Linked DNA regions of Alligator mississippiensis. The protein of the gene in region 2 purifies or fractionates together with the protein of the main gene of each other region. This does not show direct contact. Links are inferred from orthologs where the notes say so. Each region holds a gene or a part of one and is shown on either strand. Other genes may lie near its edges. The genes, in order: mitogen-activated protein kinase 1, PTPN5 and ATP5PO.

The links.
Region 1: the proteins of PTPN5 (region 2) and mitogen-activated protein kinase 1 purify together in Homo sapiens (affinity purification with mass spectrometry; 4 studies listed by BioGRID and IntAct, with this or other methods). This does not show direct contact. The link is inferred for Alligator mississippiensis from reciprocal best matches to the Homo sapiens genes PTPN5 and MAPK3.
Region 3: the proteins of PTPN5 (region 2) and ATP5PO purify together in Homo sapiens (affinity purification with mass spectrometry; 3 studies listed by BioGRID and IntAct, with this or other methods). This does not show direct contact. The link is inferred for Alligator mississippiensis from reciprocal best matches to the Homo sapiens genes PTPN5 and ATP5PO.

What each region holds. Positions count from the first base shown.
Region 1 is NC_081830.1:836,349-844,378, reverse strand, and holds the start of mitogen-activated protein kinase 1, read right to left. Parts: upstream 3,032-8,030; 5' UTR 3,017-3,031; coding exon 2,643-3,016; intron 2,465-2,642; exon of another isoform or gene 2,350-2,464; coding exon of another isoform or gene 2,249-2,349; intron 1,891-2,248; coding exon 1,708-1,890; intron 1,216-1,707; coding exon 1,026-1,215; intron 281-1,025; coding exon 164-280; intron 1-163. Other genes in the region: bolA-like protein 2, read right to left, coding at 3,425-3,542, 3,621-3,718, 3,826-3,891; structure-specific endonuclease subunit SLX1, read left to right, coding at 4,504-4,679, 5,314-5,365, 5,579-5,896, 6,024-6,154, 6,229-6,316, 6,405-6,485.
Region 2 is NC_081825.1:190,624,644-190,632,692, reverse strand, and holds the start of PTPN5 (tyrosine-protein phosphatase non-receptor type 5), read right to left. Parts: upstream 3,062-8,049; 5' UTR 2,956-3,061; intron 2,699-2,955; exon of another isoform or gene 2,657-2,698; intron 2,233-2,656; exon of another isoform or gene 2,087-2,232; intron 1,837-2,086; exon of another isoform or gene 1,724-1,836; intron 1,120-1,723; exon of another isoform or gene 942-1,119; intron 1-941. UniProt on the Homo sapiens protein: May regulate the activity of several effector molecules involved in synaptic plasticity and neuronal cell survival, including MAPKs, Src family kinases and NMDA receptors.
Region 3 is NC_081824.1:292,565,376-292,573,047, forward strand, and holds the start of ATP5PO (ATP synthase subunit O, mitochondrial), read right to left. Parts: upstream 3,024-7,672; 5' UTR 2,957-3,023; coding exon 2,927-2,956; intron 2,804-2,926; coding exon 2,753-2,803; intron 1-2,752. UniProt on the Homo sapiens protein: Subunit OSCP, of the mitochondrial membrane ATP synthase complex (F(1)F(0) ATP synthase or Complex V) that produces ATP from ADP in the presence of a proton gradient across the membrane which is generated by electron transport complexes of the respiratory chain.

The DNA.
Region 1 (8,030 bases), on a different chromosome or scaffold from region 2:
GCGGCCAGCTCTGGGGTGGGTGCCAGGGCGTAACGGGTTTGCAGCCAGCTCTGAGGCAGGCCCGATGCTGCAGCTGAGTCAGGGGTGGCCCGGCTGAATGGAACGAGTCCCGCTTTACCGCCCCCCCTCCCCACCGAGGGAAGCCAGGCGTGTGGGGCCTCACCTTGGAATTGAGCATGATCTCAGGGGCGCGGTACCAGCGCGTGGCCACGTACTCGGTGAGGAAGCCTGTGTGGTCGTGCTCGGGGTCAGCGATCCGGGCCAGCCCAAAGTCACAGATCTGGGGGTGGGGGAGGACAGAGGGCATCACACCACAAGTACGGTGGCCTGGAGAGAACAGATATGCCCAATACAGGGGTTTGGGGGGCTCGATGGTGGCCTGGAGGGGACATTACAGCCCCAACTTTGGTCTCTGGGGTCCTATGGTGGCCTGGGGGGAACATTAGGGCCCCAGAGGTGGGTTTAATTTTTCTACAGCGGCCTGGAAGGGCCAGATATGCCCCATACAGGGGTTTGGGGTCCAATAGCTGGGTTTTATGGGCTCTATGGGGCACAGACATGGGCTTTGGCGGTCCTACGGTGGCCTGAAAGGGGCATTGGGGCCCCAGAGGTGGGTATCATGTGGCTTGGAGGGGACATATATACCCCACACGTGGGTACTGGGAGTCCTGCAGTAGCCTGGAAGGGACCCGCTAGCCCAACAGATGGGTTTCACAGGTCCGACGGTGGCCCGGAGGGGGGACAGAGGCCCGAAGGGCTCATTTTGTGGGGTATGGTGACCCAAAGGGGACACAGACCCCCAGAGGTGTGGTTGCTGGGTCCTACAGTGGCCCGCGGGGGCCACCGATGCCCAATCAGTGCCTTGTATGTGTCCTGCAGTGGCCCAGAGAGGCCACAGCACACCCAGAGATCGGCTCTGCGGGTTCCACAGAGACATCGGGTACGGTGGTCCCCTGAGGACACACAGCCCCGGACAAGTGTTTTACGGGCTACAGTGGCCCGGCAGGACCCCCCTGCCACCGCACCTTGAGATCGCACGTGGTGTTGATGAGCAGGTTGCTGGGCTTGAGGTCACGGTGAAGGACGTTGGCCGAGTGGATGTACTTGAGGCCCCGCAGGATCTGGTAGAGGAAGTAGCAGACGTGGTCATTGCTCAGCTGCTGCGTCTTGAGCAGCTTGTAGAGGTCCGTCTCCATCAGGTCCTGTACGATGTAGCTGGGTGCGGGGGTCAAGGGCCACGGTGGGGTGGGTGGCTGGGCATAACCGGGTCCCTGTAATGCAGCTGGCTCTGGGGTGGGGCTGAGGCTGAGTGTAACATCAGCCTCCACAATGCAGCTGCTCTGGGGCAGGAAGTCAAGAGCTGGGTGTAACGGGGCCCCATCATGCAACTGGCTCAGGGGTGGGACTTTGGGGACTAGCTGTAAGAGGGCCCCTATAATGCAGCTGGCTCTGGGGTGAGACACTAGGGGCTGGGTACAACAGCCCCCACTCCCCATAATGCAGCTGGTTCTGGGCTGGATATACTAGACGCCCCTGCCGCATAATGCAGCTGGCTGTGGGGTGAGAAACTGGGGCCCCCCCGCCCCCACGGTGCAGCTGGCTCTGGGGCAGGCCTGGCAATAACAGCGCACTGCCTCCCCGCTGCGGCTGGCTCTGGGGTGGGACCCCTCCCCCCCGCGACGCGGCTGGCTCTGGGGCAGCGGATACACATCGCGCATCTGGTCGAGGCTGGGGGCACGCAGGATGTCGTTGATGCCGATGATGTTCTCGTGGCGGAAGCGCAGCAGGATCTTGATCTCCCGCAGCGTGCGCTGGCAGTACGTCTGGTGCTCGAATGGGCTGATCTTCTTGATGGCCGCCCGGGTCTTCGTTACGTGGTCGTAGGCTGAGCTGGGGGGGAGAGCATGAGCGACACAGACTCAGCTACGGCTCCCGCCTGGGAGGGCACCAGAAACGTACGGGGAGATGGGGCCGCAACAACTTGGGAGGGCCTGGAGCAGAGGGCGCCATAAATGTAATGGGGGGGAGCGGAGATGGCACTGACCCGAGTACACCCCCACCCTCCCCGCCCAGGAGGGATCGGTGGCACAGGGCACCGGAAACGTAAGGGGAGACGGGCTGCGACAACCAAGGTTTGCGGCAGAGGGCTGACGGTACAACAGCAGCCTGGAGGGAACGAAGGGGCCAGGGTAACCTGGAGGAGTGCTGCACCGGGAGCAGGGGGGGGGGCAGAAATGCAGTGGCGTACGGTGGCCTGGAGGCAGCGGCAAAGGCCTTCATAAATGTAACAGAGACGATTAGAGTGGCCTGGCGAGCCATAAATGTAATGCTGAGCTGAAGGGAGCCCATTGCCCACAATGCAGTGGGGCACAGTGGCTCGCAGGGGTTAGCTCCCTAGGGGCGGAAATCTACGGTGTCCCAGAGGAATCTTTCCGGGGCCCCACTGCCCCTACGGGGACCTAGAGGGGTCACTTCCGGGGTCCCATTGCCCACACGGGGGATAGTCGGGGTCACTTCCGGGGTCCCACCGCGCGTACGGCGGCGCGGAAGAGTCAGTGCCCGCAGTCGGGCCGACTACGGTGGCCCGCAGGGGTCCGGCCGGGCCGGGGGCTCGCTACGGCGGCCGCGCAGGACCAGCTCACCACACCATGCCGTACGCGCCCTCGCCGATATACTGCAGCTCCGTGTAGCGCGGCCCCACGTCGAAGGCCTGTCCCTTCACCGACTCCACGCCCAGCTTCGGCGCCCCCGGTCCCGCCACCGGCCCAGCCCCGCCCGGGGCTGTCGCTGCCGCCGCCGCCGCCATCGCCGCTGCCGCACCCGGAACCGCCCGGACGCAGCGCGCAGGCGCCGCTGCCGCCCGGCTGCCCTGAGGCGCCTGCGCACAACGGCAGCGTGAAGCTGCAGAGCAGAACTGCTGCCCACAGTGCTCAACCCCGCATGCGCGGGAACAAGAGAGCCTGCGCAGAGCGCTGCAGTGACGCTGCGACTCTACCCTTACTGCCTTAAAGCGCATGCCCACTGGCAGGAGGGGCGGGCAGAGAGGTGCAACACCTGCGCAGAGCGACAGGAGGAAGCCTCGCCCAGCCGCTGTTGCCCTCACTGAGCTTAGTACGCATGCGTGGCGTTCCGTACCCAGAAAGGAAAAGGAGGTCGTTCGGCGCCTGCGCAAAGCGCCGGAGTGAAGCCGCGCTACCCCGCTGCCCTTAGTCGGAAGAGACCGCCCACTGGTCTTCTCGCCCGCCTGCTGCCGCCCGGCCCCTAAGCTAGACAGTGGCTCCACCCCCAGGGTCCACAAGCCCCGCCCCGGCACAACGCCCCACCCCCTTTCTTACTACCCACGCCCTCATCCGTACTGGCCCCGCCCCTCCCCCGGCGCTCCCACAGATGCGAGGCCGAGCCCAGGCGCGTTTCCCATAATTCTTTATTCCCGGGCGGTGCCGGGCGCCGCTCGCTGCTGCTCCCACTGCTCCGGCGTCAGCGTGCGCTGCTCCAGCGCGTGGATGTGGGGCAGCTCCTGCGCCAGCGCCTCGTTCACCAGCCTGCGGGGGGGCAGGGTCAGCCCGCACGCCGCGGCTCTCGGGAGGGTGGGGGGAGAAGGAGGGGGGGGCGTGTCTCACCGGTGCCGCTGCAGCAGGGGCTTCCCCCGGAACCGGCCCGACACCACGAGGACCCGGAAGGACGTGGAGCAGCGCTCGGGGGTCGTGTCCTCCACTTCCTGCGCGGGAAGCGGAGCAAAGGAGACTCAGGCGTCCACCCCCCCCAAAACAACCCGGGCGTCCCCGGCCCCGTGCCCCCCGGGAACCCAAGCACCCCCCCACGCACCACGTGCTCCGCCTCCAGCTCCCGCTGCAGCCGCTCCCGCACCGCCTCTGCGCTCAGCGCTGCCATGGCCACTTCCGCCTATGGTCCCGCCCCCACTTCCGCCTACCGCCTCGGTTCCGGCCTCTAGCTCCCGCCTTTTCCGGCCAGTGGCAGCGAAGGGCGGCCTTTCCCCGCTCTTTTCTCGCCTCTCCTGAGGGCTCGGCCAATGGGCGGGCGGAGCGACCCGTCCCGCCCCCCCCCGGGCGCCTGCGGCCAATCAGGGAGCGGGGGAGGAGGAAGGAGGGCGGGGATTGGCCAGGACGCACGCGCCGGCGGCGGGAGCGGGGTTCGTGCCGGTTGGGGATGGCGCAAGGGGTGATGGGAGTGTGGGCAAGGAAGCGGGGCATGATGGGCGATAGGGCCGCTGAAGGGGGAGCAGGGCATGGTGGGCTGCATGGCTGGAGCAAGGGGTGATGGGAAGTTGGTGTCTGAGGGGATGATGGGAGCAGAGGATGCTGGGACATGAGTCGGTGAGAGCAGCGCAGGGCATGGTGGGAGCTAGAGAAGCAAGGGATGCTGGGAAATTGGCACAGGAAGGGCAGCGGGGCGTGATGAGACGCGTGGGAGTGGGGGTGGCAGGAAACAGGCCCCCAAGGGGCCGCCCCTGACCCCGCCCCCATCTGCCTGGCAGGCGGTGCCATGGCACCAGCCCCAGGGCGGGGCTTCCGCGGCGTGTACCTGCTGCTGTGCACGCGCCCGGAGGGGCGGGGCCGCGTCTACGTGGGCTTCACGGTGGAGCCGCGGCGCCGGGAGCGGCAGCACAACCGGGGGCGGCGCTATGGCGGCGCGCGCCGCACCAGTGGGCGCGGGCCATGGTGAGCCACCGTGGGGGGCGGGGCTACTGCCCAGCATGCCTTGTTTTCAGGAAATCACGCTCCTGGCATGCTTTGCTGCTAGGGACCTGGTTCCCAGCATGCCTTGCTTTATGGGCCTGCCCTCCAAGCAGGCTTTGCTCTACATGGGTTAGACTCCCAGCAGGCTTTGCTTTAGGAGGGCCAGGCCTCTAGTATGCTTTGCTGGGAGGGACCAAGCTTCCAGCATGCTTTGCTGTAAGAGGACCAGGCTCACACCATGCTTTTCTGCAAGGGACCTGGTTCCCAGAATGCTTTGCTGAAAGTGGCTTAGACCTTTTGCTTGAGGGAGGACTAAGCTCCCAGCATGCTTTGCTTTATGGGCCTAGCCTCCCACCTGGCAGGTAAAGCTCTCAGCATGCTTTGCTGCAAGGGATCAGACTCCCAACATGCCTTGCTTTATGTGCCTGGCTTCCCAGCATGCTTTGCAGCACAACCACCAGACTCCCAGCCTGCTTTGCTGTGAGGCACTGGTGTCCCAACATACTTATACTTGTCTGTAGCAGCACCAGTTTCCCAGCATGCTTTACTCTGGGGGTCTGGCTCCCAACATGCTTTGCAGCAGCAATTCCCAGTATGCGTTGCTCCCCCCCCACAGGGAGATGGTGCTGATCGTCCATGGCTTCCCCTCCAATGTGGCTGCCCTCCGGGTGAGTGCCCCGCCCCCTGGAGGGCACTGGGGCCTAGTGGATGGGAGCAACAAGGCCTAAGGGGTTCAGGAGCCCAGAGGCCTGGGGTCCTTGGGAGTGGGCGGGGGTGAGAGCAGGGAGCCTGGGCACTCTGGGAGGGGGGCGGGGCTGGACCTAGGGATTTAGGAGCCTGGACACCTGGTCCTCACCCCGGTTTCCCCTCTCTCTCCGCAGTTCGAGTGGGCATGGCAGCACCCTGGGGCGTCGCGGCGCCTGCCCCCCGGCCCCGCCCGCCGCCCCGGCGCCCCCCTCGCTGCCGCCCTGGGGGTCCTGGCCCAACTTCTCCGCGTCCCCCCCTGGGACCGCCTGCCCCTGGCCCTGCGCTGGCTCCGCCCTGGCCGCCTCCCGGCCCCGCTCCCTGACCTGGCCCCGCCCCCCCACGTGCCCATCACCTATGGGCCCTTCCCTGACCAGCCCCGCCTGGCCCACCAAGCCCTGCCCCCTCCGGCCGTGCCAGGGGTCACCTGCCAGCTCTGCGAGGGGCACTTCCAGGTAAGCCGGCCACCCGGGGTCTCCCTCCCACCGAGGAGGGGCGGAGCCCGGACACCAGGGGTCATGGAGGGGCGGGGCTAGGAGCTTGGCTGCCTGGGTGCTCCCTCTGCTTCCCCCCCACCCACAGGGCGAGGTGGATGCCCCCCTCCGCTGCATCCAATCAGGCTGCCCCCTGGCGGCCCACCCACCCTGCCTGGCGCGCTACTTCCTGCAAGACGAGCCGCATCAGTTCCTGCCGGTGGAGGGCCGCTGCCCCTGGTAGGTGGAGGGGAAGGGTGGGGGGCGGGCTCTTGTTTCCACACCGACTACTGACCCCCACGTTCCCCCGATAGCTGCAAGACGGTCGTCCTCTGGGGTGACTTGATTCGCTCCCACCTGGGTTACCGCGACAACCCTGAGGACGACCTCTGCTCCTCCCAGGTAAGCCCTGACCCCCCCCCCCATCTCCAAGCCCCACCCCTCGCCGCGGGCCATGCCCTCTGACCCCTCTGCCCCTTCCCCAATGCAGGGTCACTGGACAGAAGAGTTGCAGGCTGAAAAGGCGGGGCCTCAGGTGGAGTGGGTGGAGCCAGCTGCCAAAGCCTCCTGAGTGGGCCTCATGAATGGCTGGCGGGTTTCCAGAGACCTGGCCCTCCTGGCCCCACCCCCATAAGCACCCAGTGGTCACCAGGGACAGGAGGGGGCGGCGACACGGAAACTCCTCCCCCTCCCAACCACCAATCAAACGAAGCTTCCCTTTTTCAACCCTCTACCTTGAACACAGATCTTGCCCCCTCCAGAACCAATCAGGTGCCAGATCTGGGTTGCGCGTCACCAGCCAGCCCCACCTGCCCACCCCACCAATCAGGGGCCTTCCCTGATCCAGGAAGCCCTGCCTTCCCCTCCTCTTGACAGGGAACTGAGACTTAATTAATAACTTTCCCTCGTCAGTGTGCTACAGGGAATTAAATATGCAAATGTAGGTTGTTGCATTTGCATATTTAACTCCCTGTAAGCCGTTGATGAGGAAAGCTTATTAATTACAGGTCACTAATCACTTCTCATCTTCGCTTTCAGCCTATTGGTCTATGCTTCATTTCCCCTCCCCCAATGCTGTAGCTTGTCCTTAAGGGAAACTACAGGCAATCCAGGTTACTAATTAAGCCCAGGTTAATTAATTAAAGATCGTTCATCAACTGTCAGCTCTGCCTTCATCCTCTCTTATTGGTCTATGCTTCATTTCTCCTCCCCCAAGGATGTAGCTTGTCGTTAAGGGAAACTACAGGCAATCCAGAGGTTACTAATTAAGCACAGGTTAATTAATTGGGATGAATCCCAGGTCATTTAGGTTAATTGATTAGGGATATATAACAAGCCAGCCATTAAGTCTCAGTGTTTCATTTCCCCTCATTCAATTATGTAGCTGGTGGGTAAGGGAAACTACAGGGAATGAAGAGGTTAACTGATTAGGCACAGGTTAATTAACTAGGGGTTTCACAAACGATTAATTATCAAGCAGTTAATTGCCTCAGGTCCCCCTCCCCCTCCCTCCATATGGCCCATCCAGAAGGGAAACTGAGGCACAATCCATGAACCTCCCCCCTGCTAATCACTGACTAATTAGCAATTAATTAGGGAGAGGGTCTTAATTACCCCCCAGTCAGTCCCTCCTGCCCCCTGTATTGGCCCCTGGGGCTTCTCCCTGGAGTAGTTCTGGGATAAGGGAAGCTAAAGGCCATCAATTGGTTAATTAGTGATTAATCAGTGACTAAATACATTAAATGAATTAGGAACAGGCTGTTAATCATCTCCCAAGATCCCCGCCCCCCTCCCCATATTGACCCCCAGGGCTTTCTGCTCCCTGCAGCTCATTCATAAGGGAAGCTAAAGGCCATTGGTTATTAAAATAGGTGATTCATTAGTAATTAAATACATTAATTAGAATCAGGGTGTTAAGTATCTCCCAACTCCCCTTTCAGCCCCCACCCATATTGACCCCCCAGGGCTTTTGGAACCAAAATGCCATGGATTGGTAATTAATTAACCATGGGCGCTAGCTTAATTAGTAATTCAAGACATGCAATGAAGACCTGGCTGCTAATGAGTTCAGACCTGCACCCTATAGCCAGGTTCTTGCCCCCCCCAGCCCATTGCT
Region 2 (8,049 bases):
TAGCTTCTATCTTATTTTAGTGAAATTAATGGGCCTAGGATTAGGTCATCAAGCGTAGTATGTAGCTGTGTATTCACGTGGCCTTACACTGTTGCTTTTTTAATCCACTGTTCCATGCAAGATGCTGTTTGACTTAATGGGTCTGTTAACTCCCCTGGGTGAAATAAAACTCTCAGATAGCTTATGACCTAACATTGTAAGGTAAAACATTACAATCTATCTACAGGGACTATTTCAGTAACTTGACATAACATTTGAAAACACCCTGACCCCCACCTCCTCATCCCATAGGGGTGTGTTACCAGTAATTTGAAGGCTTACAGAATAGCCAGAACTGCTTTCACTGGTTTTACACCAAAAATCTTTGCACTGTTGTAATCACAGGGGGTATAAAACCTCTGAACAAGTTCCCTTCTCCAGTGCAATTTACCCAGTTATCCCTGTTTTTGCTGCCACTGAGATAAATCTGCCCCATGTAGGGCTTCCCTTACTGGAAGGGAATCCAGAGGAGGTGGTTTGTTTTTTAAAAGAGGCTTTATGTCTGCTTCACACCTTCCCACCTATGCAGAAGAGTCAGAGAGTGGGGGTAAATTAGGGCCTACATTTTCACAGAGGACTGCATTTACTGTACATGTAATTTAAATCAATAGACTGAAGAGGATGCATTTATTTTGATCCTTTGAGAGACGGTGTTATAAATCAGAATAGCAAGTAATGGTTTCCTTCCAGGGCCTACACTGACGCCTCCCCTGAAATTCTGAGCCCTGGCTCTGGTGTTGTAGGGGGCTGAGGAAATGTAGAGACTACTTTGCTTTTATTTCTTTTAATTTTGCCCAATGAATTAAGCTACTTTCTGCTGGGAAGATAAGAAAAATGGAACCCAAGCATGCTGGTGACATTCTGGCAGAGAAAGTGATATTATTTAATTAGGTGAAGAATACCTCTGTTCTCTGATTTTTGGTTGAACAGGCAGCTGTTCCAAGGCTCCTAAAACTTTCTTGCTTTATAGGCTTGACATCCAGTTCGCAGTTCTTCCTATAAAAGGAGCAATAGATGCTGCTTTCAAAGTTTAGATCCCATTTGCAAAGCTGGCCAAAATGTAAAGCTCAGCTTGAATAGCTGAAACCAACAAAGATCAATACCGAAGGTTAATCTCACTTCATTTTCAGAAAAACGAAGTTATGCACTTCAGCAAGTGCTTACCTTTACTCATATGTAAAACACTGGTTCGCAACTGTTTTAGACTCAAGACACCCCTTGTTAAGCATTAAGGCACCCCTAGGAAAATGCCAGCTCTTAGCTTTTGTATGTTTTTTTTTTGACCAGGGAAAAATAATACAGCAAATCTGTTACAACCCCCCCCCAAAAAACAAAACAAACTCAGAAAGACCACAACAGGTCTGTTTTTGACAGTACAGATCCCCAGTGAAATCTCTGAGCTTATCTTGTGTAGGTGCCTGCACACCGAACAGTGTTACTATTGCACAGCACCTTCACTCACCCTTAAAAGGCTCTCACCGCACCCTGGCCGAGAATCACTGCTGTAGATCTATTGAAACCAGCCCCACAGACATGGCTTTGCAAGATCAAGGTTTTCCTCCCAATGAAGCCAGTGGTAAAACTCCCACCCAGTGGTAAAACTCCCACCGGCTTCAATGGCAGTGACCTGAAGTACAAATACAAGTGAGTAATTACAAAGCTTAGTCCCAAGGTATTAACACACCTCCTCGCACTCTGCTATTCTGTAGTGGTCTCCTGGCAAGCAACGGTGAGAAGACCCGTGGGCGGGTTTTTTGTTCAGACCCTACACAGGGCAACATGGGGGGCTGCCAACTCCTGCCGAAGACAATGAAAACCTGGCATGAACCTGAAAGCTTCATCCTTCCCACTGAGGCAACAGTGGACCTCAACGCTCAGCCCAAACCAACCAAAGCTTCCCCCAGGGCGCACAACCGTCACCAGGCAAAAAAAGCTAGTCTAGCTGCCACATTTTGAAATCTAGCAGCGATTACAGGCGCCAGCGCACACGACCCAGACCCTCGGCTGCTCGCAGCGAATCCCACCCCGAGATCAACAGTAGCAAGACCTGGGTTCAGCAGCGGATCCTGTCCTGGACCAGACGCAACAGGAGCCCGTGCCCAGGGGGGGCTAGGGCAGCCGAGGCGACCCCTGGAGAGCTGCCCGCCAAGCCGCTCCGCTGTCCCGCCTCCCCACGGCCGAGCCGAGCGCCCCTCACCGCGCAGCGCCGCGCCGCGCCGCGCCGCCCTCCCGCCAGCGCCGCCATCTAGCAGGGAGCCAACTGGCGCCCAGGGCCGGCACAGCCGAGCCGGGCCGCGGTGTCTGCAACGGGGGCACCCCAAAATAAACCCTAGGGCCCTCTGTGCCCCCCACGGGACCGCCTGACCAACTCCCGCGGGGCGGGCCGGGCCGGGCCGGGGCGGGGCATTTACCCCCCCGGGCTTGCTAATGTGAATGTAACACATCTCCCTCCCCCCATGTCCCCAAACCTCTGCACCTCGCCGGGTCCAGCGCTGCGGGGAGAGGGCAACAGAGAGGACGGGGAAGGGGGGTCGCGGGCATCTTTGCAGAGAGATGCATGAGGAGTTGTGTGCGAGTGAGTGCGTGTCCAGACCCCCACCCCCTTGCAGTGACCCACCTCTGGGGCTGCTTGCTGGCGCCCTCCGGGGCCGCAGCAAAGGCTCCCCCAGCCCCAGCGCCCACCCTTTCCCCGCCGAGCCGGGGCGGCCCCGCCTCCAGCACCAGCGGCTGGAGAGGGGATGGCTGCAGTCGCGCACGGAGGGGACCTGAAGGGCTGCTGTCCCCTCCCCGTACACCCCCCCTCCCCCCGCCCGGTGCAGGCGCCCGAGCCCCGCGGCGCCTCAGCCCCCTGCTCCGCTGCCGCAGTCTCCCTTCCCCCGTGCCTGCCTCCCTGCCGCCCCCCGGCGCCGGCCCCACCTGCTCGCCCAGGTGCGGCGGGAGCCCCCGGCAGAGCCTCACTCGCGCTGCAGGAGAGCGGCGGGCGCGGGCAGGAGCCGCCGGGCGCGCGTGTGCGTGTGTGCCGCTCCGTGTGCCACGCGCACGGTCCCCCGCCCCGCAAAGCCCCCAGCCCTGCGGCGCCCCCCACCCCCTAGAGGCGCTGCCCCGCCGCCGTGGAGCCCCCCCAGCCTCCGCCCCTTGCACTCGTGAGCAGTGACCCCCCCCAGCCCATGACGATGCAAAACTTCCCTAGTTCCCTCCCCACAGAGAGGGACTTGCCAGCCCCCTGCCCCACTGCAGCCTGCAAGGAGCTCCAGCCCCAAACCCCTCCCAGCCTCCTTGCACGCTTGAAAGGGCCCCACTACGGTGCCCCCCCAGTGCAACCCCCTCCTCCTCCCCCCTTCCTGCTCCACCCCGCCGCACTGAACAACAAAGGAGCCCCCCTGCCTCCAGCCCGCTGAGCCCCCCTTGCGCCCTGCAAGGCTCCCTGCCTCCCCCCCACAGGACACAGGCAGCTCAGCCGGGGGACTAGCAAGGCATAGGAATGGGTATGGGGACTCCCCCTCTCCGCACTTGGCATTGCTGAAGGTGCAGGGGGGGCTTGACCCGCCTAGGAAAGGTTGACCGTGCCAGGCTGACTCCCCCTGTCTGTAGAGATGCCCCTGGGAAGGGCTGCAAGGCGGGCAGCAGCAACAGCCGCCCACCTTCTCCCTGTAAAAGCTGTTCTCTCTCTCTCCATCTCTCTCTCTCTCTTTTTCTCCCTTTCATGCTTGATTGACAGGCAGGCTTTCAAAGGCCTCCCACACACACACACAACACACACACACACACTTTCTCTCTCTCTCTCTCTCTCTCTCTCCCCCCCCATCCCTCCCCTGTTTTCCCTGAATCGGAGAGAGAGAGAGGGAGCCATGGCAAAGGAGAAAGCATGAATGAAATATTCAGGCTGCCAGGAGCAGAGGAGGGCCAAGGCGAGAAAAAAGACTCCAGTCCCTGAGGGAGCAAGAGCATCTGGAGCTCCCTCCCTCTCCCCCCCCACCATCCTCCTCCCTTCAGCAGCAACAGCCTGCACTGCCGCAGTGGTGTGTCCTGCCTACACACACACACACACACACACACACACACACACACACACACACACACACACACACACACGGGAGACAAGTAGGCACGTAACATGCAGACACAACGCAGGAGTGTTGCACACAGGCGGGCGCATCCATTAGAGCAAATGCATCCAGAGAGGCAGAGACGACAGCCCCCGAGCCCTGCTTTCTGTCAGCACAGTTACCTACACAGGTGAAGGGGGAGAGAGTGACATATTGGGGAGTAGGAGACAGAAGTGACACTGGTGCGGCACACACACAAAGATCACAGTCTGACAGGTGCCTCTCTCACCCCCTTCACACACACCCATCCACCCACACATTGCAGAGACAAACACACATTAAGGCTCCCATTGTGCAAGTGAGAGCTCTCAGACAGATTGCTATGTCATGAGCCACATTGATGGCTCTGCACCAGCTTCATCTGCCCACCAGTGTGGTACCTACTGCAGGATCCAAGTCTAAGACATTACACTAGACAAAAAAGGGCCAGCTCCTCAGCTGGTGTAAATCTGTTTAGTTCCATTGAAGCCAACAGAGCCAAACTATTTTATTTCAGTTGAGGACCTGGGACATAACACATGGTCTGGAACTTTTGTCCAGGGCTAGATCAAGGATCTTCAAAGCTGGGTGCTTCCCCACTTTTACCCTTTATTTGCTCTGTGCTCCTGGGTGAGCCATTTTGTTCAGCATAAAGGATATGCCATACCTTCTTAAAGACACATTTTACTCACACAGTTTAATATTCAGAGCTTCCAGAAGAGCTTTCCACCTTTCCACTCTTCTGTGAAATATGAAACATCAAAGCCAGAAAGAAATATGCTTCTACATCCTGCTGGCCACCAGACAACTTTGAGGTAAAAAGACTTTTTCAACCTTTCTCTGTGCCTAACTTGGACAAAAAGAATCTGAATTCATCGTAGAGGTGATATCTTTTATTAGGCCAACTAGATTTTTGCAAAAAAACCCGGACAAAATGAACAATTCCCAACAGGAAATTTGACTACATCTTCAGCTCTCCTGTGAAATATGAATTTTCATTTCCAACTAGGAGAATTTTTACAAACTCTGTTCTCTCCTATGCCTGAAGAAGGGTGTGTGCGCCCAAAAGCTTGCAAATAAAAAAAATAATTTGTTTGCAAATATCTAGTTGGTCTTATAAAAGGTATCACCTCTTCCACAAGTTTTGATTCCTTTTGGGATATGATGTGGCATTTTGTCATGTCCAGCCCCCAGTTGTCTTTCCTGCTTAGTGCAGGGGGCTGGACCTGATGATCTTCCGAGGTCCCTTCCAGCCTTACAACCTATGAATCTGTGAATCACTTATACTTACCTCACTTACACGGATGTTGTGGGGGCTGTATCTTCAGCTGGTGAGGACCAATATAGTTAATGGAGCTATGCAAATTGACACCAACTGAGATTCTGGCTCAGGAGGTTTATTTAATATTTGTAAAGCACTTGTGTTAGTGTTTTTATTTATTAAGAATATTGATTTGAAATCCTTCAGTGAAAAAAAAAGAATAGTAGCGTCATTTATCTAAATGTATCCTACAGGTTAAACTGATTATGGCATTTTTCTTTTCTAAACTCCTGTTTAATGTTGTTTTGTGTTGTTGGATAGCTTACATATTGCACCCCAGAGGTAGCTCCAATCGATAGTAGGTAAGTGGATTTCTCCCCATAGTCCCGTAGAGCCGGATTCTCAGCAGATGTAAATCAGTGTCCTTCCACTAATATTTGCCAGATTATTTGCACTAGGTAGAATTCTGACCCTTAGTTTATAAAGCTTTTCAGGATCCATATGATACAACACGCTTTAGTAATTTTTTATTAATTATTATTATTATTTTAAGTTTTGCATTCCTGAAAATCAGAGCACGTAATAAAACATTGACCAAGCCGTTTACTGTAATATAACAAATGCATCTCCTTAACACAGATGGGGCAGTGTAAGTCATCTGGCATTTGTCTGGCTTTTCACAGGTTCTTATGTTCATGCTAACAGTTCAACATGACTCACCAACAGTACATATCACTGCCAGCTGTTGTAAACCTTGTTCTGAGTCAGTGAATGACTGTGACGGAGGATTTTGGCAACGAGTATAATCCTAATGATTTTCCCAAAGAAGAGTGAATTGCTAATCAGTATCTATGCAGGGTGAGTCAGGGTTTCATGTAGGAATAAAACTGGACTCAAAGGTTACTAGTGGACTATCCCAGTAATGTCCCAACTCTAATACCATTCTTGAGAGGGACAGATGATAGAAATGTTTAATGTACAACCCTAATTGCTTCCTGATTAGAATATTGAGGTCTTTGCAAACTGTTCCTCCTAGAGGAACTCCTATATTGTTCCATATTTAACGTGACATGAAAACTTTGAATCCCCCTAAGGTGAGGGGGTCCTTTTAAAGTAATGGTCACCAACCAATGGATCTTGATCTACTGGTAGATCTCAGAGCCTCTTGCGGTAGATCTCGGAGCCTCTTGGAATCGATCCAAGGCTGGGGTGGGGGACCGAGTGCCCGTGTGCATGCACACAGTGCACCGCAGCCCAGCAGGTCAGTCCATGGGGGAGGCAAGGACTCCCACGGTGAGGGACAGGGCCACAGAGGCAGGAGCAGGGATAAGTTGAGTGAGGCCCTGGTGCCTTCCTTTACCTGCTGGGGAGGCGCACCCCCAAATAATTTTTTCTCCCTCTGCCTTAATCTGCCCCCCCCCCCCCCCCCGGACTTACCTGCTGGGTTGGGGGGGGCGGGGAGAGGGAACGGGGTGGTGGTGGTGGTGCACAGTAGATCTTGGGTTGCTTTTAAATGCCACAGGTGAGCTCCTAGTTAAAAAGTTTGGAGACCACTGTTCTAAAGGGGAGACAGTGTACAAAGAAATACTGGGCCAAGCTGGGGGCCACAACCTGGTCCCTTTATGCCAGCTCACAGGTAGATTTCCTTCTGTGGGAATCACTGGGGCAGAGGTTCAGTAAGCCGCTCTACACAGTTCCCTTCTCAGTTTCAATCATAAAGACATTCTGTGAATGGCGAGAAGCAGGTCAGAGGATTGTGGAGGACCATTATGCACTGACTAGTCCAAGATATTTACAGTACATGCCTGACATTACTGTAATATCTGAGAAATCACTTTTTTAAAATAGTATTTATCCTCACAACATTCCTTGGGGGCAGGGTAGTATTATTCATAGTCTGCTGAAAGGGAATAGAGGTAGTGGGCGCATCTACACGAGGCACTTACTGTGCATTAGCTTAATAACACTGCGCAGTAGCATGTCACAGCAAAAACCATGTTAATAGCCTACTGCACAGTTTTATTAAGCTAATGCACAGTAAGCATCACTAAATAACCGTGTGCTGGTGCTACTGTGGAGTAACTCTAGGTACTGTGCATTTAGTTAGTACTTTAAATGCGTAGTGTCTAAAGCACATTAATGAATGTGTAGACGTGCCCACAGAGACTTAAAGGCAGAGGTGTAAGTGGGCAGTTCTGTACTCTTGGTGGTGGCACTACATGAAGCGGTGACTGCAGCTGGGCTGCTGGCAGTGGTGCAGCAGCTCAGAGAGTAGTGGTGGCTGATGCTATTTTTGCATCCCTCTAAGGGTGGTGACTGGGGATGGTGGCCCAGTCACACCCTGCTTACTGCTTAATTGACTTCCTTAAGAGCATAGAGGGAGTTTGTGGTGAAGCAGGGAGTTGGATCTAGGTCTTCAGGTCCCTTTAACACTCTAATAGTTGGAGCAATCAGTTGAGGAGGAGCTGATCGAGAACTGCCCCAGCTATTGCCCACTTGCTGTGGAGGATGTAAGGTCCCAAGAACCTGCTTCTTTCAGTCAATATTCTGTCAGAGGAACAGGGGCTTGGGTTGAGCTTGACATAAAATACTCAGCTTTTTCTTTCACAGTCAAGACAAGCCTGCTGGTACAACAGAAGCCCCTGTGGGTACTCTCTGTGTTTT
Region 3 (7,672 bases), on a different chromosome or scaffold from region 2:
AGACTGACTGGCCTATAGTTGCCTGGGTCCTCCTTCCTCCCCTTCTTGAAGATGGGGACCACATTGGCCCTTTTCCAGTCCTCCGGGACCTGGCCCGTGTGCCATGAGTGTTCAAATATTCCCACCAGTGGCTGCGCAACGACGTCAGCCAGTGCCTTTAGTACCTTCGGATGGAGCTCATCCGAGCCTGCTGACTTGAACGCGTCCAGTTCCTCCAAGTGCCTCTGCACCATCTCAGGGTCTACGCACGGTAGTCTGGCACCCTGCTGCCGCCTCTCTACCATCCCAGTGAGAGACTCGTCTTGCCCCTCACTTAGGAACACAGAGGCAAAGAACTCATCGAGGAGTTCAGCCTTGTCCCCCCTGTTCGTCACCAATTGCTTCTGCCCATTTAGTAGGGGTCCTATTCCTCCCTGGGCCTTCCTTTTACTCTCTATATAGCTGAAAAACAATTTCTTGTTATCCTTAACTTGGGATGCCACCCTCAGCTCCATGGTAGCTTTGGCCCATCTAACTGCCTCCCTACAAGCGCGAGCAGAGGAGGTATACTCCTCTTTGGTAATCTCTCCCTGTTTCCACTTTTTATATGTTCCCCTTTTAGCCCGTAGGCTGCTCTGGATTTCTCTGGTCAGCCAGGGAAGCTTTCTGGCCCCTTTCCCTCTTTTTCCTCGCATTGGGATCGTCTCCCTCTGTGCCCGAAGGATCATTTCCTTAAGGCACAGCCACCCTTCCTGGGCTCCCATCCCTTCAAAACTCCTACTCTGCAGTGCGTCCTTGACTAATCGCCTGAGTTAATTGAAATCAGCTTTCCTAAAGTCTAGCACTTCCACCCTACTAGTTACCTTACCCACTTGACATCTTATGATGAATTCTATTATTTGGTGATCACTGTCCCACAGGTGACCATCGATCTGTAGGTCCCCTACCATGTCATCCCCCGTTGCCAATACCAGGTCTAGCAAGGCATTCCCCCTAGTGGGACTATGTACCTCCTGCATCAGGGGGTACAATCGTTCTGACTAGAAGTAATCTCTGAAAATGCAGCTCCAGCCCTAAGATTCAAACAGGAAATTCACATAAGATCTAACAGAACATTAATTATAATTTTTGGAAAACCAACTTGTGGTGCCTCCCCAGTATGAAATAAAAAGCAGTAAGTTTAAGTCCATATTGTACTTTTACGGTTATAAATAACGTGTTTATCAGCATTGATGTTGGAAATTTCAGAACAGCCCCACAGCAAGGTCTTTCCATGTCCTTCAGGATTGGTCTGCAGTGGGGCAGAGGCCACGAGCCGCTGGAAGCCTGTCCTACTCCCAGACAGGACCCGTTTCTCAGTGCACATACTATGGCTTCCTCATGTCTGTGTCACACTGAGTGGGAAATCTTAGGGCAGCTGAGACACCTCTGCATTTAGCTGGCTGGAGGCAGAAAACTAAGAACCAAGCACTAGCAGAACAAAGGTAATCTGCAATCAGCATGTTTTTCTGGGGACCTGCAATTAGAGGGGCTGGTGAAAACAACCTGGTCTGAAGTGGTCAAAGGGCACCTTGATTGTCATCCCACTCCAGTGCACTCTAGGAAACATGCCATGCCTCACAGTTGAGCTCAGTGGTTCTCCATCTTTCTACCCTCCGTGTCCCCTTCCAATAACCCTCTGAAGTAAGTGCTGCACCCCCAGTTGAGAGCTGTTGAGCTAGCATCTAGTTAGAGCCATAGGGGAGGGGAGTAGGGTAGGACTTTTCAGCATCCTAAAAAAGCCAGGCTGGACAAGGGGCTCCAGAGGTCATTTAGTCCAACCCCCCAACCCTAGCCAAACTTTCCTGCACCATCCTTCATCTACACTCTACGTATACTGTTGTCAACCCTGACACAACACAGATCTAACACCCTAACCTGCCGCAGGTAAAGCAAAGGAGCCATGGCAGCCAGCATCCTGCTTCTATGAAATGTTGGCAATATTTTCAGGAGGTCCTGGGCAGAGACTGTGTCCTGCTAGAGGAAAGCAACCCCTGACCCGTACCCCTCAGTCCGTACCAAGCTGACCACGGGGTAAAATTCCTTCCTTACCCCAAACCTGGTGATCAGTTTGTCCCTGAGCAGAGGGGCAAACCCCCCTAGCTGGGAACCTCTGGCTTTGCTTCCAGCAGGAGCATTGGAAGACCCCAGCCAGTCCTCAGCCTTGGCTGTAGCCAACACCCAGGACATTTTTACACATGCTTCCAATGTGGTGCTAGGTTCTTTTAATTAGCGACCCATGCTTATTAAGAGCACCCATTTGTCACATTCATCTACACTAAGAAAGTGGTGGCAGTGGGCTTTGAACTTAAGTGCATGAAACATGTTTTAGTTCAAATCACACCACTGCCACGGCAGTGGCGGAAAGTGTTGGAGGAGGGAACCAGTGAAGCTGAGAAAACAAGACAGGGTACAGCTCTGCCTGCATCACCCCCGCCAGAGGTTGCCAACCCACTGGCAGGCTCCCATAGGGCCCAGCTGCTCCCATCTCCCTGCACCCAAGGGAGCAGCCACAGGCAAGGCTGGTCTGCCCCCCGCCAAGGGCCCAAGCCCGATGGCGCCCCTTAAGGGCTAGGGCAGGGGCCACCAACATACGCAGCACTGCGAAGCCGTGGGGGTCCCCTCCCCCGCAGGGGTGGCCCCGCGCATGCGCAGCACCGCCGGCCCGTGGGGGTCCCCCTCCCCGGGGCGCCCCCACAGCACTTCCTTCACCCTCCCAACCCCAACGGCTTACCTTGACGAGATGGGTGGCGGGGCGGACGAGGCCGGTGCTGAAGAAGCGGACCTGAGGGGGGAAGGGAAAAGCAGTCAGACAGGTTAGAAGCACGGGGTTGCCCAGGGCCAGCCGAGGAGGAGCCGGGCCGGACTGAAGAGACAGGCCCAGCAGGGAAGGTGGGGTGCCTGTCACCTTGTGAGAGAGCCTGGCGGCAGCCGCCATCTTCTGCTGCTGCCGGAGGTCACAGCGAAGCCTCCTGTGGCCGGTGCCCGGGACGCATGCGCAGTTGATACAGGCGCGCCGCGGGGCAGGCTGGGGAGGCGAGTCCTCAGGGTCGCGGCTTGTAGTTCTCTGCGCAGGCTCTTCGCCCTGGCGGGCCGGAAACTGCCGCACGCAAGTCAGCCTGGCTGCTGGACTGCTCGGGACCGCCAGGGGCCGCTGTTGCTTCAGCGTCTGGGTCGTTGTCCGGGCAGGAGCGGCCGTGCGATGCTAGGGGGTGGGATAGCGACGTCCCTCAGGGCCAGGGTATGTCCCCACGCGAGCACTACGCGGCCCCCTGCTGAGGGGGAAGGCGGGGCGCTAGGTTCGAGGCCACCAACGTCAACATAAGGCTGTTGTTTCAGTTACTTTGTAAGGAGTCAGGGTCCTGCCACTCGTTACGTACCTTGTGCCATTTCACTGTGAATCGCACAATAAATGTAGACAGGCGGCAGGTGCAAAGGGACAATCACACAGTTAATTGGCGAATCAAGCAATGCATGTAGACAGGCCACCATAAAAATGTCTGTTCTACTATAAGAAAGAGCCAACCAGCTAGTTACAAAGTTAAGAGCTGTGAGAGCTCTCTAGCTGGTTTTCAGCTTGAGTTGGAAGATGTGACCGGGTCTTTAGACCAAGAGCTTCCTAACAAAGAGTTACTTTGGTTTGGAAAGGCGGTGGGTGAGGGCCGTTGTTCTTGAAAAAATGATGCTATGAGAGATCTGCTAATGGACTAGGAAATCAGTTGTCCTGAACTCATGGCCTGTGTAGCTAAACTCGCATGACTGTTGCCCTGAAATGCTTGGCTAGCTAGGCTCAGTTGGTCTAATAAAAGATATCCCATCTACTCAAAGAACGTTGCCTGTCTATGTCCTTAGATCAATGATGGCTATAACCAAAAACCCAGTAGCTAGCTAGGTGCGCTTCTTATAAGATCTGGCAAGCGTTGGGCTCAATTGAAGTGCAGCAGGTAGGGCAGGAGCATGAAGAGCAGGAGATCAGGTAGGGAGCACAGCACAGGGCAGAAAGCAGGAGATTGAGCATGGAACAGGGAGTAGGAAGCAGACCAGCAGATGGGGCAGGAAGGGAATCTGGAGTGTCCCTCAAGAATAGTGTGGGGTAAATATGTGCCCCTCATTGACAGGTATAATTGTCCACTCCCTTAGAGCTAGTTGTTAGGGTCTTTCATATTTTCCCTTAGTCTGTTTTTCATTTATCAGCAGGAGAAAGAATGTTTTTTTAAACCAGGAAAATAGAGTTATAAAACCCTGAAAATTAACAGGGGAATCCAGGAACAACAATTTTAACTTCTGCAGCTGATTAATTTTCAAACTGTGATACCAGAATAGTCTTCTGCAAATTTTCCCAAGGTTGGTTTGCTGGAAGTGTGCACTCATACCTAAATGTTGTTTTGCAGGGGAGGATTTGGGGTTTCCTCTTCTAAATTAATGTAGTAAATGCAGTTACTATATTACAGGAATAATATTACTAGAGCGCTTGTAAAATTCGAATTCATGTTATTGTACCAGTTTGTTGCAAAAGAAAATAACAACATACAGTTAGGGATTTCTAACTTTATTAGCAAAATACCCATAACAGTTTTGATTCTTTTAAGTTAACATATTAAAGTCCTTTAGAGTAATTTAAGGGGAAACAGTAATTTAAGGGGAAACGGGGATGAAATATTTTTTTGTTTGTATAGATGTGTTTTTATATGCAATAATAAGTGCGAGGAATTATCCATAGGTGTGATGTTATACAAATTTAGTTATTTTCATACAAATGTTTGGCTATTTGAGTTGTGCAAAAATTCTAATTAGAACAACTGTCTTGTATTTTAATGAACATGGCTATTAGGGGAGCTGGGAGGTAATTTGTACTGGGAGTTAAACTTTGCTAGTTTGAAGGTGGACATTGGAGATCTGATTCTAAGGGACACCACATGGAGACTCAGAACACCTGAGTTCTTCTCCCAGCTGCTAGAAGCCTACTGCATTTCCTTAAACAAGTTGTCCCTTTGTCTCTTTGTGCCCCAGGTTCTGCATTTGTAAAATGGGGCTAATGATTCAGACCTCCTTTGTTAAGAGCTTTAACATCTGGTGGTGAAAAGTGCCATGCTGTATAAATATTGGGTATTATTGTTGTTCTCTTTTCACATATGCTGTTGTAAACAAGTGTTGAACAGTTACAAATATCCAACTCGGGATCCTTAAAATTCTAGTTTATTAGGTGGATTGAAACACTGTAATCATAAACCTTGGGGCTGGTCCACGCACGCACGCACGCACGCACGCAGTAGCAGGCTACAGAGTCAGGTATACCTATCCTACAAGCGCTGGAGTCTGTCGTTGAGGCTTCTTTCAGTGTGGTGTTATCTTCCAGAAGGGGGTCGCTGGCTGGTCCTTCTGGCTGGACAGGTCTGGTCGAGTTGGAGATCAAGAGGGCACCGCTGAGGGTCACTTTTCACTGCCTTTTATCTGTCCTTGGCAGACTTTGGTGACTCCCCAGTTTTCTGGTTTGCCCAATCCAGGGGTCATTGACCCTCGTGGGACTTCCCCCCCTCGGTGATTACTGAACAGCATCTGTCAGCCCCAGGCGTCCGCATGTATGTGCAGGTTTGGGAGTCCATTGATGAATTTAGAATAGGGATCTGGGAGTGGTCGATCTGGAGATATTCAGCCCAAAAGTTGGTCTCTGGTGTTGATTAAGTCAGGCCAGGGCTTCTAGCCCTTGATCAGTGAGGTATAGAGATTTCCCGGTTGTTACACTGTCTTCTATTGAGTTCAGCTTCCAGGTGATAATTGCTGCCTGCTTCCATGTTACACATTCAATCACTGATTCACTCACTCTTTCAGAGGCCAGCCTGATACAGGGAAGGACAGTTTGATTCCTGCCTTTGTTAACAATGTTACAATGTATAACTTACTAAAACACATTTAGTTGAAAGTTGAAAGGTGAGGAGTATAAAATATAAGCTACAAGTGCCATGGCACACAAATAGATAAAAATACCAAACTACAAGGGGAGATACAAAATGCACACATACAAATTTTAAAATACAATTCCTTATCTTAAAGTGAAAGAGAGAGGAAGGAAGAAAAGGTAGAAAAAGAGAAACATATCCAAAGAGGGGAGAGCAAAAGCAGGCAAGAGGAAAAGGGGGCTTTCTGCTACACAAGGTATAATTCCATAGAAATGAGCTGAGTTTTAACATGGGGGCAGAAAAAGGAGTCAAGTTGGGCTCTTTGAAATCACTAAGGTTGCAGCTAGAAAGAAGGTGATAAACCTATTTTTCAAAAGCTCCTCTTGGAGGCCTGAGTGGTAATGTGCAGCTAATTAATGGTATGGGTCTCTCTTTCTAGCAGACAGGTGTCTGGCATAAATACCCTTGAAGTTGGCAGGCTCAGCATAGAGGTCATCGATTAAATGTACACAGAAAGTGAACTGTCCCTTGAGCTGCTGAAGTGGTTATTTCAGGTCAGGGATGAGACATATTGGCAAGGTAAGCTTGCTGTGCTACACTGTTAGTAACCGAGGCCTTTTCACAAGAGAAAAATGCACTCCAAAGGGGAACAGGGGTGTAGGTTGTAGCCGTGTTGGTCTAAGGACATAGGCACACAAGGTTCCTTCGGTGAATCTGATATCTTTTATTAGACCAACCCAAATACTTGGAAAATAATTATTAAGCAAGCTTTCGGGTTCAAAAACCCTTCGTCAGGCTAAGGAAGTTTCAGCGGTTGGTATGTGCTCTTCCTGGATGGAATGAAAAGTAAAGAAAGGGGAAAGGACTTTTTATCTTTAAAGTTTAAATGTGCTGGGTCATGCTAACGTAAAAGTCCTGCAAACTGCTCTGTGTGGCTGGTTCTTTCTCAGTACTTGCATGGATCCTGTTTCCTAAGGTACTATGATCTGCCCTCATGGAGCAGTTTGCAGAATTGTGGCCTTAGATATGACACAGAGCAGATTCTCATTATATAGTGGCACTATAGCTTGTTTGTTACCACAAGAGGGAAACAAATACTAGTAGTAGGGCTTTATTTATTAACCATGGAAGTTGAGGGAAGATCTTTGTCTAGTTTTAGGGTGCTAAAACAAGCCAGGCAAATCCCTGCACCTTATGTCATTACATATTAACATATGTCAACAACTGAAGACAGCTATTTCACAGTCCATTTGTTCAATATAGTGTGAAATGAATTTCAGGGATTTGCCTGGCTTGTTTTAGTAGCATAAATATAGCTGTTAGGGGAAGTTAGGATAGAATTGAGTTGCGTGTTTTTATAGTAAAGTTGAAGAACCCACATGCAAACAAAGGGGAATCTTATCTCATGTTAAGCCTGGTAAAATAAAGATTCTGTTCCCCCTCTTTTGGCTAAATATGAAAGAACTAAAAAAATACTCTAAGAGTTGTGCACATAAATTCCTAGTAATTTGTCTCTCTTGCAAGAACTACAATAGCATTCAGAGGGTGTTTTGAAAATGGAGCTCTTGGATCTTTTGCCTACTTGCTGTGTGAGTGCCATTGCTGGTTCAGGGCCACATTCTGATCTCATTTACCCCAGAGTAACTCAGCTGACTTCAGGCATTTCATCAACTCAATTGTTTTGTGCTGTTGTATGTGAGAAGGTCACCCTTATTTAGATCAGATGATGTGGGATAAAACATGACAGACCAAGATTT